Linked DNA regions of Lytechinus pictus. The protein of the gene in region 1 binds, or shares a complex with, the protein of each later gene. Links are inferred from orthologs where the notes say so. Each region holds a gene or a part of one and is shown in the gene's direction. Other genes may lie near its edges.

The links. Proteins that work in one complex are often made in the same cells at the same time.
Region 2: outer dynein arm-docking complex subunit 3-like (region 1) and calaxin-like share a complex: the UniProt entries of both Homo sapiens proteins name them as parts of the outer dynein arm-docking complex. The link is inferred for Lytechinus pictus from reciprocal best matches to the Homo sapiens genes ODAD3 and CLXN.

What each region holds. Positions count from the first base shown.
Region 1 is NC_087259.1:10,445,598-10,453,203, reverse strand, and holds the start of outer dynein arm-docking complex subunit 3-like, read left to right. Parts: upstream 1-4,309; 5' UTR 4,310-4,578; coding exon 4,579-4,660; intron 4,661-5,934; coding exon 5,935-6,134; intron 6,135-7,260; coding exon 7,261-7,440; intron 7,441-7,606. Other genes in the region: uncharacterized protein LOC129277736, read right to left, coding at 2,586-2,861. UniProt on the Homo sapiens protein: Component of the outer dynein arm-docking complex (ODA-DC) that mediates outer dynein arms (ODA) binding onto the doublet microtubule. Involved in mediating assembly of both ODAs and their axonemal docking complex onto ciliary microtubules.
Region 2 is NC_087257.1:8,582,131-8,590,069, forward strand, and holds the start of calaxin-like, read left to right. Parts: upstream 1-4,501; 5' UTR 4,502-4,639; coding exon 4,640-4,688; intron 4,689-7,939. Other genes in the region: glycylpeptide N-tetradecanoyltransferase 2-like, read right to left, coding at 1,973-2,150, 4,224-4,324. UniProt on the Homo sapiens protein: Component of the outer dynein arm-docking complex (ODA-DC) that mediates outer dynein arms (ODA) binding onto the doublet microtubule. Seems to regulate the assembly of both ODAs and their axonemal docking complex onto ciliary microtubules.

The sequences.
Region 1 (7,606 bases):
ACAGTGGCGTTATGAGCAAAAAAAAGGTTGTGGGGAACAATATGGCATGTGTAGGAAAACTTCGAAAAAGTCGCAAAGCGGAACTTGTTGCCCTTATTAAATGAAAATATGATTCTATGATAGATTATGACATAATATTCAACAAAATAACGTTTCACCCCCTTCCTTTCATTTTATTAGTTTATTTCCTTGCTGTTCCTTTTTTATGGTTGAACTTTTTTTCGGGGGGGGGGGGGGGACAACCCCCAGCCTCCTAGATCCTACGCCAATGGGTGAAAACGCATATTAATGACCTTTCATTTCCAGTTTACCCAAATACCGTGTGTATTAAATAGTAAGTTTCAATAGTTGATGTAATCATTTCGTGCTCGGTCGCCGCGCCTATTTTCATGTTATATGGTGCTGCTTGTCACAGATTTCGATCCACATGATGAGAGGATCCAACTTTCGCCAGGGGGGGGGGGGGGGGGGTATTTTCATACAGAATTCCCCAGATTATTTTTGAGGGGGTAGTCCTAACTAAAAATTGAAGTTTAAGGAAATATCGTGACATTATTCTTACCATAGATCCATGTTCTTACAAGCTAGATAGGTATCTCATTTAGCCTTAATAAATATTGTGAGCACGATCTCGGGTTTTTGAAATATTACATGTTTTAAGGCCTGAAAATTGAGTATTCTGAGCATTCTTTTTTAAATTACGATCAAGATTTTTATCTAAATAAATTTTGAAATTTATATACTGACCGAAAACTTAACACATTTTAAAGCACATTTTTTGTAACCAGGACTATGGTACTAAACAACTGATAAGAGCGCGAAGCGCGAGCTGAAAAATTTCGGAAAAATGTTGTTTGATATAGTAGAGCCGAAGGGGGGCTGACCACGGAAAATAAATTACAATCAGGGACACGTTGCACTAAACTTTTGCCATAAAAAAACTCTGGCAAACAGAATTATGCCATTAAAACTTACACATTTAAAAACTCAGGCAAAAAATGTCCATATAGTTTTTCTTTAATGCATGCATCAGGGCCCTGGTGGTCACGTTAACGTTTTTAGCCCTCCAGCCCGGTTGTTCTGTGGCTCTTGTCATGATCATTCTGGGATTGAGTTAAGAACGACAATTTCATCCATCCTATGTTCTCCCGATTATTATTTCAGTCGATAAAGACAATGGACTTTCATTATCTCCATCCAAGCAAAGATCGCTTAGATGGTGGCAGCAACCGTGTTTCAGAAAATGTAACTAAGGCAATGACATTGATCACGGACACGTGACAGACAAACAGAATACCACAAACCTTTTTGCTAATCAACAGAAAAACGATTTTGGTCGCTTGTTATTCTTTTCCATCTGCATCCATGCCACATTCCTAGACAATGGTTAAGCATGATCTAATCAATATCAAAACCTTGTCTTGTTCATCATTATTAGCGCTCCAAATGATTTGTCGATAATTTCACGTCGTCTAAGAGCTTTGGGATGTTTTGTTCTCTACAAAGGTATCATTCAGATGTTAAATGTTTTCTTTGAGGCTCAACTTTTATTATTTTTTCCAATAAAATGAAAAGAAACGTACCCTTTTCTGCGTTCATGCCTCATAATATTGATGAAAGCTTGTAATATACGAATTTAGCAATAGAATGTGTTTTGTTAGTTTTCTTCAGTGTCCAGGCGAAACTCATGCACACAAAAATAAGATAACACTTTAAGATATTTAACACTACACTTTAAGATGTTAAACTCTACACTTTAAGCTGTTTAACACGAACAGTCTACGGATAGCTGTTATTAAATATTTTTTTATCGACAGTAGATGAATGATATTGATGATAGATATTCATAACGAATCACTACTCTGTGTTTGGACACAATCATGAGCAATTATTGAAGGGCGGCAAATTTTCCCCTTTTCACACGCTGACCGAGGTGGGGTGGCAACGATTCGACCATCTAACATGTCTTATGCACTTTCGCAAAAAGTGGCAATTAAACGCAATGTGCAAAATGCAAACCAAAAAGAGACTGACCTTGGGGGGGGGGGGGTCGAATAAGCTTGTAATGAATTAAATTTAGGTATAACTTTTAATGCGTGCAAGCAGGCTCATGAAATGAGAATGAAGATGAAAATAAAGCAATAGAATAAGGGGAACTAAAAGTTTGAAGTTCGGTATAATTCGAATTAGGGCCGAGGGGATATCGTAAGCGCTTAAGAACTGCCATAAACAAATTGTTACAAATTTAGATTAAAATTATGGTTTAAAAGTTTAAACATTTGTTAAAGTGACGGATTTTAACTTCGTGCTTAAAATTTTAACACCTTTTTTTTTTTTTTTTGTAAGATGTGTGTCCAGGCAGATTGTGTGTCCGGATAATCAATTTTGAACAGTCATTTGAAAAAAAAATAATAAGCGAAGTTTCATCAATATTTAGTACAAAATATTAGGTAATATTACAGAGAACAACATAGAAGACGATTACAACTATTGAATTCATATTTTTAGTGTAATCCAAATACAAAAAATAAGGCTTCAAAATCATAAAGACAGTGTCCGGACACCCGATCCCCCTTGCTACTTACCACGGACGGATGTGGGTTGTTTCTAGGAGGAGAGATGTGACCATGGTAACCTTGCCACACCCTCCATATCGTCGCTGGGACATTGGCCGATTTCCCGGTCTTGGGCTTGATAGATTCCAAGCTGTAATCTTGGGCGTACAAACTCCCGTAGCGGTCAACGCCGGCTGCCTCGTCTTCGGGAAAAATCTCCCAACTGTCCTCGTGCTGGTTTTTAATTTCTTTTGCAGCGCATTTTGCCCCCGGTGTGGGTAGCATGTGAATGCACGCTGCTGCCATTTCGGTTCCTTCCGCTTAAAATATTAAACTATTGTTAAAATATCATTACTTTAATTTAATTACTTAACACCACCTTATCCGGGGAATGTTTTGTTTACTAATGTCCACTTCATGAACTTGTCGCGTCGTAATGACCATTGTCTTTGATGCATTATGTATACAACTGACGTCACAAAAGAAAAGTTTTGCGCGCACGCGCGTGTAATTAGAGGCTCATTATTGGTCCATTTGCCTTTATCACCTGACATTGGTAATTAGTCACGAGGTATTGATTTATAGTCTGCTATGCCATTGCGGTGGTTGAATGCACTACCAGTTGTATAAGTTTCTACATTATCATTAATGATTTAACGATCATGATTCCCTTTCACCCAGTATTGCTGTGGGTGATAAAGCGTCAGAAATTCAATATTTAGTTTCATTATCAAAGACTGTGTCCAAAAAAGACAACTATCGTATCACCTTGTCCAGGATTAAGTTTAGGCTTATGCTAGCATTTGGTTCTAATATCTTTTTGTTTTCATGTCGTGAATGATGTCCTTTCATTTTAATGAAAACTTTAAAATCCATTAATGGGGGATAATCTGCACTTTTTTTGTGCTATCAATATCCCCTCTTGAAAAAGAAAATATTTTAGCTGAACAGTGTGTTTGTTGTTCCTTGTCTTCACCAGTTATCAATGTGACATTCTCTCACAGTGACAGAAAAATACATCATTTTCTTTGTATTGTTTCAGTGTTCTATTGGAGGCATATCACTATACGGTATATATACATTCCTACATCCATATCCTAGTATCGTTTATGGTGACAAAACACCCCAATAACTCTCCCTGATTAACAATTTATAATCAAGAGCCTCCGTATTCCTGTCTAACCAATCCGAATAACATTGCCCATCATCATGGCCAAATTAAGAACCCACTTTGTATTTGATACTTTTGCCATGTATTTTTTTTTACTCGCACTATTGCAGTGAAAAAGCTGTACACTTTGGACCTATTAAAAAGCACAACAGACAAAAGAAAAAAAAAAGGGGGGGGGGGTACTCCTAATTAAGCCGCCTCCGAGGGGCCAGCTCAACATTGATGTGGTTTAAAAAAATGCCTGTACCAAACCCCACTTGGGCCGCGGAACGGTTTTGAAAGGGTGTGGGGGGGGGCTGACTATGCAACAAACCACAATCAGATGGTCATTTTTACGTTTTTGTACACGGTTTTGGAAAAACAAAGTGGGGGGCTGTGTTATCCGCGGCCCCCGCAAAGCTAAGTGTACGCTTTCGTGAAATATTTCAGAAAAAAATGAAATATGTATTATCGTCCATTATCTATTCTGAGTTTCTTATACGTTATAGCTCTATATACTCGCCCTGAATATTTTTTTTTCCGACGAATTCGGCGTCAGCGTCTTTGCGCGCATATTGGTCGCAGCTGGCGCTATCGACGATCGGCAGTTGCTACGGGAAACGTGCGACAAAACAGCCTTCGTCGATCGCAAGCTCTCGTTTCGCGGATTTCGTACGTGTACAATACACGGGAATCCAATACAAATTTTGTGTGTAGATTTCCTATGCAGAGCTAGCTAGCTAGATTAACGTAAACAATCTTCACTACGAAAAGATACATGGACTTGGCAGCGAGATTTCTTTGAAAAAGACTTGTTTCTGTTGATATTTTTACATCTTTAACTTTTGGTGAAGGACAGGAAAACTCACGAAAATGCCGGGTGTCGGCAAAACAAACAGCAACACTCCGATTACGGAGCAAATATCAGAATTGCAGCGTAAAATCTCCTTGTTGGGTGAGTAAAAAAAAAAATCATTTTGTGACTTGTCATGTCATGTGCAATGTAAATTAAATGGGGATGTAGAAATTGAAATAAATTGATACGCCCAGATCTAGATGACCATGACGTACTCTCATTGGTAACACTTAATGAAGTTTTTTTTCATAAACACAAGGGGCCATATTAAATTGGTAATGCAATGATAAAGTTTGACTTTGAGTTGAAGATGTTCAGAAATAAATGGAATCTGGACTGAACAGAACAGTGTCAAGACAAGCGTGAGTGAGAGAGACTGAACTGAAGTCAGTGAGATGTTATTTGTTAGGATCTATCAACAAAAATAAGCTAGGGCAGGTATTAGTCTATTTGAGACGAGACCAAAGTCAATGATCAAATGGATAAAAGGTCTTGTTGATGATTAAGTTTGGCAGAGGCCAGGGTCGCTGGCACATGTGTGACTGACAGTTCAAAAGCAGACTTGTAAGGGCTAAGCCTAAGGCAAGGATGGTTGTTCCAATGTTATCGACTACGACTACGTGGGATACAGTCTGGGGAGGGTAGGCCTAGTACTAGTAGTAAAATGAAAGAAATTGTGAAATAATCAAAATTGACAAAACGTAATGTTAAAGTCCTAGGCCTACTTGGTTTCCTTAGCTTAGCCTTAATTAGGGCTTTTAGTTAGGCTTAGATCTAGAATCTACATGTAGGCTGTAGCTGAATCTGTCTGTTTGGAGGAGTTTTTTGTTTTCACCTCCATACATTCTAACACATGGTCATGGAGGATGTGTAGTGACTAAAAACATCCAACGGAATTGGGAACCAACAACATCTGTTGCCATGTTGGGTTCCTGGTCCTGATCCTCAGGTGGATATTGATTACCAATAAAGAGAAACAAAAACTTTTGGTCTAGGAGACTAGGTTCTCTTTGACACGCTTACTATATTGAGGATGGTAAAAATCAGATAGGTCTATTGATCTTGGTGTCAGGAATTGATAAATAAATCCACAGAACAAAAGTTACATGTAGAATCTGTTCAGCATATTAGATGCAAAGATATTGGTATCAATTTGAATAATTTTACACATTGGATCTAATACTAGTAATACGCATCTGACTACATGGTTAAACTGGTTGATGAAAAATGGATGCCATGTTTATTAGAGTTTATCAATATGATCATTCCATTAATGATGTTTAAAGTCATATGATTTTTTTTCATATATTGTTCCATGTACATGTACCTAATTCAGTTCAATGATTATTTTATTTATTAATATTTGTTTAAAGATGGTGACAGGAAAGCATATTACGAGAGTTCCCAGTGGACCATTAAGCAGAACCTTGAAGTCATCCGTAAGTTGCGACAGGAAAACAAGACCCTACACAAGCGGCTAGCAGCAAGCAAGGCGGGAGATGACCGGGTACTGGATATTGCCTTCAAGAGTCGAGAGGTGGAGCGCGCCTCGCTCAGAGGCAAATCTGGACGGGTGGGTAACTTAAATGTTTCTTAACCCATTAGGTGCGAGTATATATGGGCTGCCGCTGGAGTCTATGGAAAACTTGTTATAGCAAAATCATCCAGTCTGCAACGGGTTAATCTTTCATGAAGTCATGAATAACCTTTGCAGCTTGGTAAAATAAAAAGGAAATCAGAAAAAAAAACCTTTAATATTGATCTTAATTTTGTTTTGTTTTTCAAACTACTCTAGGAATCAAACACCAGTTATGTACATGTATGCCACTATTAATTGATAACCAATGTTGTTGATAACTTAATGTTTTGACCAACATAAGGTATGCTAGTAAAACGTTATTTCAATTTTAATCTAGAGGAGAGTTTGGTCCTTGCATACTCCTAGTCTTAGTTTGGTTTGTTCAATCAGAAAAGTACTTGTACAGTATGATTATGAGAATACATGTATGATTTAGATTCAATTATATTCCTGTCTACCTCTGATATTGTGGTTATACATGTAAGTTTCTTTGTGTGTTTTTTTTTGCATATTATTATTGATAAGAATATCAGCTTAATAGATGTATCAGTTAAAGCTTTAACCGAATATTTTCCAGGGAAAGGTTTATAGTAGGCACATGCTGATAATTATACCAAGGTTTAACCCTAGTCTAACTTTAAAGTAGAATTTTAACCACACTTCTATTGAATGCTGGCTTCATAATATTTCTTCCATATTCATGGCAACTGTATTGTGCCAATCACTTCATTAAAATTCATTATATATTTGTATTTTCCTATTCACCCCATTTCAGTTAACTTTTGAAAACTTTTTTTGCAGCAGGATGAGAATAATGTTTAATTGGAGAATAATAAAAACTGGCACTCCATATAAGTGTGGTCGAATGCAACGCAGGTTTAACCTAACCATGGCTATAGAAATACATGTACCTCCCATATTGTTCAGTTACTGTCAGTGGGTCAGTGGTATTTTTAAAGTTGATCTCCCTCTTCCTAGTCTTTTTTCTTGAATTAGACATTCTTATGTTTGACACAGATGGGCAGGTATTTATTTCAATTATACCTTTAAAGAGAGTACATGTATTTTGTTTAAATTTGTTAGTGATAACAAAATATATCCCTTTATTGTGGCTTTACAGGAAGCAATCCGTATCATGGACCAGAAGGCGTGTGAGGCCAAGAAAAAACTCAATGCAGAGAAGTCCCAGACCCTGAAGCGATTGAAGAATTTTGCCGAGCTTGAGGTCCAGTATGATCAGATGATCAAGGATGCATCGGATGCAGAGGCTACCACAGCAGGGACATCAGAAGATGCCACAGTAAGTGAAACAACCATTTAGTTTTGTATTGTTTGAATTAATATGGTTTTCTTAAATTGGCAACAATTGTAATTATTTTTTACCAACTTGCATTGTTTAAAAACATAAATTTATAGATTAACTTGAGTGAAAGTGAATGAATGTTAATTACACAAACTTAACATCT
Region 2 (7,939 bases), on another chromosome or scaffold:
CGCCATGGCTGGGATTCGAACCCACGACCCTCTGTTTCAAATTCCGAAGACTTATCCACTGGGCCACAACGCTCCACATCATCATCAATCACCATTTTAACACAATTATTGTGATTATCACCACTCTAACAATCACTATCATCATAACCATTAATCAAATCTTTATAAATTATTGTCATTATCGTTATATCATGATCCTTATCATTTTCATGATTATTGTTATTGCAATAACTAATATTACCATTATTATCATCATATCCACATCATCATTATCATCATCACCATTACCATCACCAGCATCATCATTTCATTTTCATTTTATTCTGTTTTCTTTAATATCTCAGTTCAAAGATGTCAGCTCTATTTCGAGAAAATTTATTGTGGTTGTGAGTACCAGTAATCTTTCACAATTCAATTCAATTCAATTTCAATTTATTTCATTCATAAAAACACATAAATATACATAGTAATAAACAAAATATCAATATAAGAATGTGGAGACAGCTTAGAAGAACCAAGTCTTATACAGTGCTGCCACCAAAATGTAAGCACAAAAATTTTAAAATGAACATTTTAACATAATAACTAGAAAATAAGGATGATAAATACAAATACAAATTATTAATAATATGCCCAGATTCAGGCATCCTATTGGAAACTACCTATGCCAGCCGCACAGAAACGTTGTTAGTTAAACAAAGCGCTAACAGCAAGCCCAGTCATATCTTTCGGATTGTGAAGCCAAAACATTTGATTTCCACATGCAAGTAATGCATTGTTGTAACATTAGGCATCGCTGTCACATTGCCGATTGTATCAGAGCCTCCGTTACATGTAGCGCATCGTAAATGCTAACAACGTTTCTGTGCGGTCAGTACAGGAGGGATGCACAAGCCAAAAACATCTTCAACATATTCTCCGCTTGGTAAAGGCATGTGAATGGGGTAAATTGCCACTTGTGTCCATTTTGTATTAAATCTGGTCTCATCTTACATGGTTTAATCCTAGTTGGTCTACAACCTCTTTGTCTTCTGACGTTTTGGTAATGCATTGTCATTTAACCCAGTTAACCAGTTTCACTATTTTCAATTTTTGTCTAAAGCCACTTAAATCTCCTTCCTACAAAGAGTAAGACCTCCGAAAGACTGCTGTAAGACCATGAAACTTGCTTGATCTTTCAAGGGTCTTTCAATCAACTTTCAAAAGATCTCTGAGGTCTTTCACGTTTCCTGGTGGATCTTTCAGTGGTCTTCGTAGTCCTCAAGAAAATGTTTTTGGTGGTCTTTCAGGAGTTTTTCAATGGTCTTTCCATGAACTTTCAAAGTTCTTAATAGTCTTTCCATGATCTTTCGACAGTCTTTCAAGATTTTTTGGGAAATCACTGTAGGACTCGTGAGAGATCATTCAAAGATCATTGAAAGACCAGGGAGAGTCCATTGAAAGAATTCTTAAAGATCACTTGCTGCATAAAAGATCTCTGGAAGATCATTGAAAGATATCTATAGGACTTGTCTAAGTCTAGTAAGACAAAAAGTATCAATCAGTATTTCACAGAGTCGTCAAATTTCAGTGATCTTGGAGACTGCTGTTAAGACCTTGCTATTTTTGGGTCTTTCAGAAGTCCTTCCAAGGTCTCCCCTCTGTGGAATGGGGGCCTAATCTATGAATAGATTAACTGTTCACATGAACCAAATTTTCATTTGATAAAGTGCAAAACAATACTGTATGAGCCAAATTTTCTTTTGACAAAGTGTGCAAAAGGGGGAATTGAGACTATCTGGGCATTAGACTACTGTAAACAAAAAGTATTAGACAAATTGATTGTTGGAACGAAAGGTAATTAGACCAAATTGAGAGTACATGTGCACCGAGTGGGTTTAATTCTGATGGAATTTAGACTAATTGCAAAATCATATTGGATCATATTGGAACAGCTCAGGCATAGAAATCAAAAGATGAATAAAGGAACTACCTGACTAACACGGGAATCAATCTGGTCTACCCCCACTGCAGCACCGCCTGAAGCTCCATCTGCCTTCTTCTTTTTCTTTTTCTTCTTTTTCTTGTCTTTTCCTCCATCATCATCCGCTCCACCTGTGGCCCCTTGCTGACTGGTTGAAGGCTGTTCTTCGTCTAAATTACTGGTAGGACTATTGAAGGAAGAGAGAGCGAGCGAGAGAAAATGTAGTGTATTACAGTACGACAGTATACCATAGACATGTCCACTCCTCTGCCGTACTTTGGCAAAAGGAAGCAAGTTACAAATGAGAAATGTGTGTTTGTCATTTACATAGGCGTAAATGCAATTTAACATCACATTATCTTTGATCAATATCTTTTCATCGAACAATCATTTCTTCCCAAAATTTTGCCTGAACGTGCAATATAGAAAGTATGTTCCAGAAACAACTCAAATTCGACTGATGTGTCACTTGCTTCCTTTTGCCAAAGTTGGGCAGTCCTATAGTTCAGCTTTGGGATTCAGCTTTGGGAAAGATAGTTACCCCCTGAAATAGCCCAATTTGTACTCATACCCTCTCTTAGCAGAAATCCTAAACCCCCCAAGTTCAATTTCTCCCAAACGAAAAGATGATCTGTAGCATACTGACTAGAAACAAAGATTTTAAACCAGTCTGCTACAGGCCACTGCAGCTCTCAGTTACCTGGTAGTCTTGCAGGAAACTTCCAAACTTGTTGGGTATCAAAAGGGTATATATTTTCAACAGCCTGGAGGCCCTGGACACATTTAGAGGGTTTAATCATACTATCTACCTGCAATCATTCAGCATGGATTGAAATATTCAAACAGGTAATTGACAAATATTTTATTTTATCACTTTTCACAATCAATAATTATGCAAACAACTGAATACTTTCCATTAATATGGCAACAAGGATTGCTTGAAAGGGGACATCTTTTCATGCTTGATTTGAAATTAGGGAGGAGAAACTTGATGAAATATTTAGGTTTCTCCATTATCAAATTTTTCACAACTAAAGTAAGAGTCCTCTTTATCACTTCTCTGTCACTCACAGCCCTTATTTTTCTATCATCTTCTTTTTCTTTTTTCTTTTCTGTTTTCCTTTTTATCTTTTTTCTCCTATCATTATTTCTTTTAGAGCTTCTCCCCTCCTTTCACTCTCGAGCTCTCCCCCCCCCCCTTCTCCAGTTCCTTGTCCTCCTCATTTGTCTTCATTCTACTCCTATTTTGAATAATTCTTCCTCCTTCCTCTCCATCTTGTTCTTTTTTGTCATTTGCTATTCTTTTTCTTATCATTCTTCTTTGAACTTATTCTTCTTTTTCTTCTCCTCCTATCTCTTTCCTTTCTTAATGTCCCACCCTTTCTTCCTGAGTTCCTCCTTCTCTTAATTCTTTTTCTCAGTCTTCTTTTTCTTTTTTTATTTCCACCCCCTCCTCTGCTTCTAAGCTAAGTTCCATCTCCTTATTCTTCTATTTTCCTTCTTTTTTTAAATTCTTTCCTCTTATTTTTTTTCTACCTCCTCCCTTCTTCAACTTCACTCTTAAGTTCTCTTTCCCTCCTCGTTGTTGTTGTTCGATGTGGGTCATTTCCACACCCAAATGATGATCTCCTTGATCTTCAAAATGATCTTCCCTCCTCCCTTTATTCTTTTCTTTCCCTTCTCTTCTTTTCTTCCCCCCCCCATCTCTTTTCTTGATCTTGCTCTTATTGATCTAATCTCATTTTCAGACATAGAGTTAGACTCATTTTTATTTTATTTTTATCTCATTTTATTTCATTTCAAGTGGTATTTCTTCTTTTCGCTTAAATTTAAAGAATAAAAAATTATAAAGTTTTGCTCATTTCAATATTTTCTTCTTCTTTCACTTTCACTCCTCCATGGCATGCTACTGCTAGTAACTCATGGCATGACTGAGGACACCATCAAGAAGATTATTTAGGCCTAAACTAAGTAAGTGCACGATCAGTTACAAGACAGCCACCAACTTGAGCATGAGCGCCCAGGCCCAGCGCGATTACAGCTGGTGAGGTACTGCCCCGGGCGCGATCGGCGCAGGCCCGTGCGCGCGCCAGACCGTGCCCGTGCAGCTCAGTTGACTTGAATGAACACTTCCGAACACGGGCACACGGCTGGCCTGGACGGAAATGAAGTGCAGTCGTGCAGAATCCTGCATGTTGTCAATATGGTATTAGGGGATTTTAAGTGTATAGCTGAATAAACTGATAACTATTTCACTTACTCTGTTTCAGTTTGTGCTTCACTGCCAGCAGTTTTTTCTCCATTTGTAACAGGGTCAAGATTCTCTTCTGTCACCGTCTGCGAGTCCATGTTCTCCGCCATGTTTTTTGGCTAAATTGGTCAGATAATTTTTCTTTTTTAAAGAGTTGGAAGGGTCTAACTTAAAACGCATTCAGTTTAAAATAAAATTGATATTTATTTAATCACTAAATTATTTTTTTTCTTTCCTAAAAAGGATAAAAATATAATAACAAAATTAATAACAAGAAAATAGAGAAAACATTTTGCCCAAGCGCATGCGCAAAATGCATAGAGACGTGAAGCTTTATCGTCAACAACCCCGCGAATTTGTACCGTCCTAGATCATTATACCATTTAATTTGGAGGGAAATCGGTTTCTTTTGAATAAATATCACCATGAAAGGAAGTAAAAAGAATGCTGGAAATCAGGCAAAAGAATTCCACTGTAAGTATTAGGTATTTAATTAGCCCAAGGCCAAACTTATTCGGTACCTTCCGGAAGTTCCGACCTGAGTGAGGCAGAGCTGCGCCCTGCGACGCGCCCGACCTGGGGCCGGGCCCGATACCTTCCCCAGAGCTCCGGCACCGTATCGGACCCTAGGCTAGCCCCACTCACACAACATGCGAGGTTAGTATTACTAACCTCGCACAACACATGTGATTTCATAGTGCATTTTGACGTTTTCATTCATCACACGAATGTGAGGGACTAAACTACGCCAAACCTTTCAATATTTGTCCGCTATGTTAATCTTGATCGTATGATCAAGTTTTTATGAAAAAGCAATTATAAATTATTTATTAAAGTGTTTTTATCGCTTACCTCCAAATCTCAACCAGGATACTTCGCTCGGTCCGTCCTTAGTCATCCTTCGTACTGCGGTGGAAATTACGCAAACAACAATCGAAATGCGAAATTTTCCTATCGAACATTCTCGATTCAAGTCGTCGGCGCATAATAGGAAATTGTACCAAAAATCAACATAGTTCTCTATTTATTCAAACAATTTTTTCTGGGGTGCACTTGACCTTTAAGAGATTTTCCAATGAAAATATTACATGGAACTTGGAAATACAAATCATAATTTGGTTGAACAAAATGTTTTCTGTTAAAGTATAAAACAGAAGAGGAACATATCCTTCACGTATTTTTATATGTTTGCACAAAAAAGGAGAGGGAAAGGGAAAGGAAAAGGGAGGGGGAAAGGTAGAGGAGAGAGAGGGAAAAGGAGACCATAAAATAGAAAGAAAACAAAGGAAAGGAAGAGGGGAAGGGAGAGGGAAAGAAAAATGGAAAGAGCGAGAAAGGAAAGAAAAGAAGGGAAAGGAAAAGCGAAAAAGGGAAGGGAAAGGGAGAGAAGAAAAGAAGGGAGAACGAAAATGGGGAAAGGGAGAAGGAGAGGGGATAATGAAGGGGATAGGAAAATGTCAAGTTTGAAGATCTGAATATTAACACTAAAACAAAATTAGACTCCCATGTTTTATTTATAAAAATACCATCTTTTTCATGATTATAAAGGTTCAACGTCCCTGTTCTAGGTCTAAACTTCAACATAAATCTACTGGCGCTTCGCGCTTGAATTCTGGAGGTCATTCCTCTTTTAAAAGTATAGGTAATCTGTCGGACTTTTCAAATCCCAAATTTAAATCTTAAGCGCAAATGCCCTCGCATTATTTTTCATTTAGATACAGTCCTGTCATCAATATCAAAAACTCTAAGCGCGAGCTTCGCGCTGGCATCATTTTTGTAAGTGACATTTATGATGTTGTTCATATTTAAAAAATGTCCATTTGTTGAGGTTTAAATGTCCAAAAGTTCAGCGCTCGCATAATTTGTAAGGTAAATAGACCTACCCTTTTAATTGTTATACAAAGGCGCTTATACAACGTCACACAATATTTAAATAAAAGAGTTGCCAAAGCTGTAGTACATGTATAACTTCACACACACACATATATATATATATATATATATATATATATATATAGGTCTCCTCATCATGGTTATAATAAGTGCTCAGAATGTTTTATTTTCAAGTCCTTGTATCAGAATTTTCAGCTCGGGCAGCTCTATCGCATTTTGATTACTATCCTGTTGATTTATTTACTTGAACAAAATATTTAAAATGTCCAGCTTTTAGAACAGATATCAAAAAAAGGTATTCACCTTTGATCATAGATGAGGAAGAAGAAAAAAGTGAAAAAAAATAGGAAACAAACTAACGAATTAATGTGACATAATTTTTCTTCATTTCAAGGCGACTCTTTACATTTCATCATCGCTGATGGCGCTACAATAGAAAATACCGCTTGACAGCAAAAAAAAAAAAACAGAAAGAGGAAAATAATGCTGAGCGTCTAAAATGCAGCTAGCAGTACAAGCTGCAGAACCGTCGTAAACAAACATCTTGTGAATAATATCGCGCGCCCTCTAGCTCTTTAAGCAAAAGTTTACAACCACAATTACCCTGCGGTATCTACGTGAAGATCACGAGAAAATGCATTTTTTATCTTAAAAACACACCAAAGAGAAGACAAGAAACGATCCATATGGTTCGGTAAGTGTCATAGCACAATTAGAAACATTATTTTAAAAGGAATGGCTTAGTTATTTTAGTAAAAAGGGTGTGAAAAATTCGCGTGCACCATGTGCATATGAATCCTTCGCACGCGAGATGCATTGATCCCATGAGTGGGCTAGCCCAAGCGTTTTGGCTTTGCCGGCTTGCCGCATGCAAAAACAACATCCCCGCAAACAAACAGGCTGCGGGATGCTGTAAGCTCCAGAGACCATACCCCACTCAGGAGGATTTATAAATAAAAAAAATTAAATATTGTATAATTCACACAATAAAATTAAAAACAAAATACCGGTACTTATATAGTGAGTGAGGCATCATCATTCTCATTTGACAGTACTGTCAGTGTCAGTAGAGGCGCACGGCCAATATGGGAGACTCTCTCCAATACTAATACTAATAGGGGAGACAATCTCCCACATTGGAGACTTGCTTTGCAAAAGGACAAAAGAAACAACACCAACAAAAGCATGATTTTTTCCACCCAAAATTTTGTCTCACTGAGGTCAGAAGCCCATTTGTTTTGTGTGTGATTGACAACAAAAATCCTTATCAAAACAAAAGTAGACGGTGAATTTTAAAGTAGACGGTGAAAAGGGGTAATTTTTCATGAGGAATCTGCTTATCACATTTTTATTTGCCTCCAAGGTAATCCTTTTGCAGCAAATGTAAACAAAGGAAATTGGTCTCCAAAACTGGAGACTGTCTCTGAAATTGGATACCCAAATTCTTTACAAAAGTCTCTGATATTGGAGATAATCTCCCACATTGGAGACAGTCTCCAATATTGGCCGTGCACCTCTACTGTTTGAAATTTTGATTTTGAGTTTTGCGTATCATTCACTGTTTTGTGAAAAATAAGTAAAACTTTAAAGTCTTTAAAGGAAAATGAAAGGATAGATTTATTATCTGATCATAAAGTGATTACATTTCACTGATTAAAATAAAATTAAAATGAGGCAGAACGGTTTCCTATTTCCCATGATATGCCAAGTCAAAGTTATAAATATTTTGATATTTGAAAGACCCGTGGAGATCGCCATTTTGCTCATACTCCCTATATCTCCGTGGGGGGTTGTGACGTCAGCGACGTACAACTCGGTGTCCGACCTCAGCA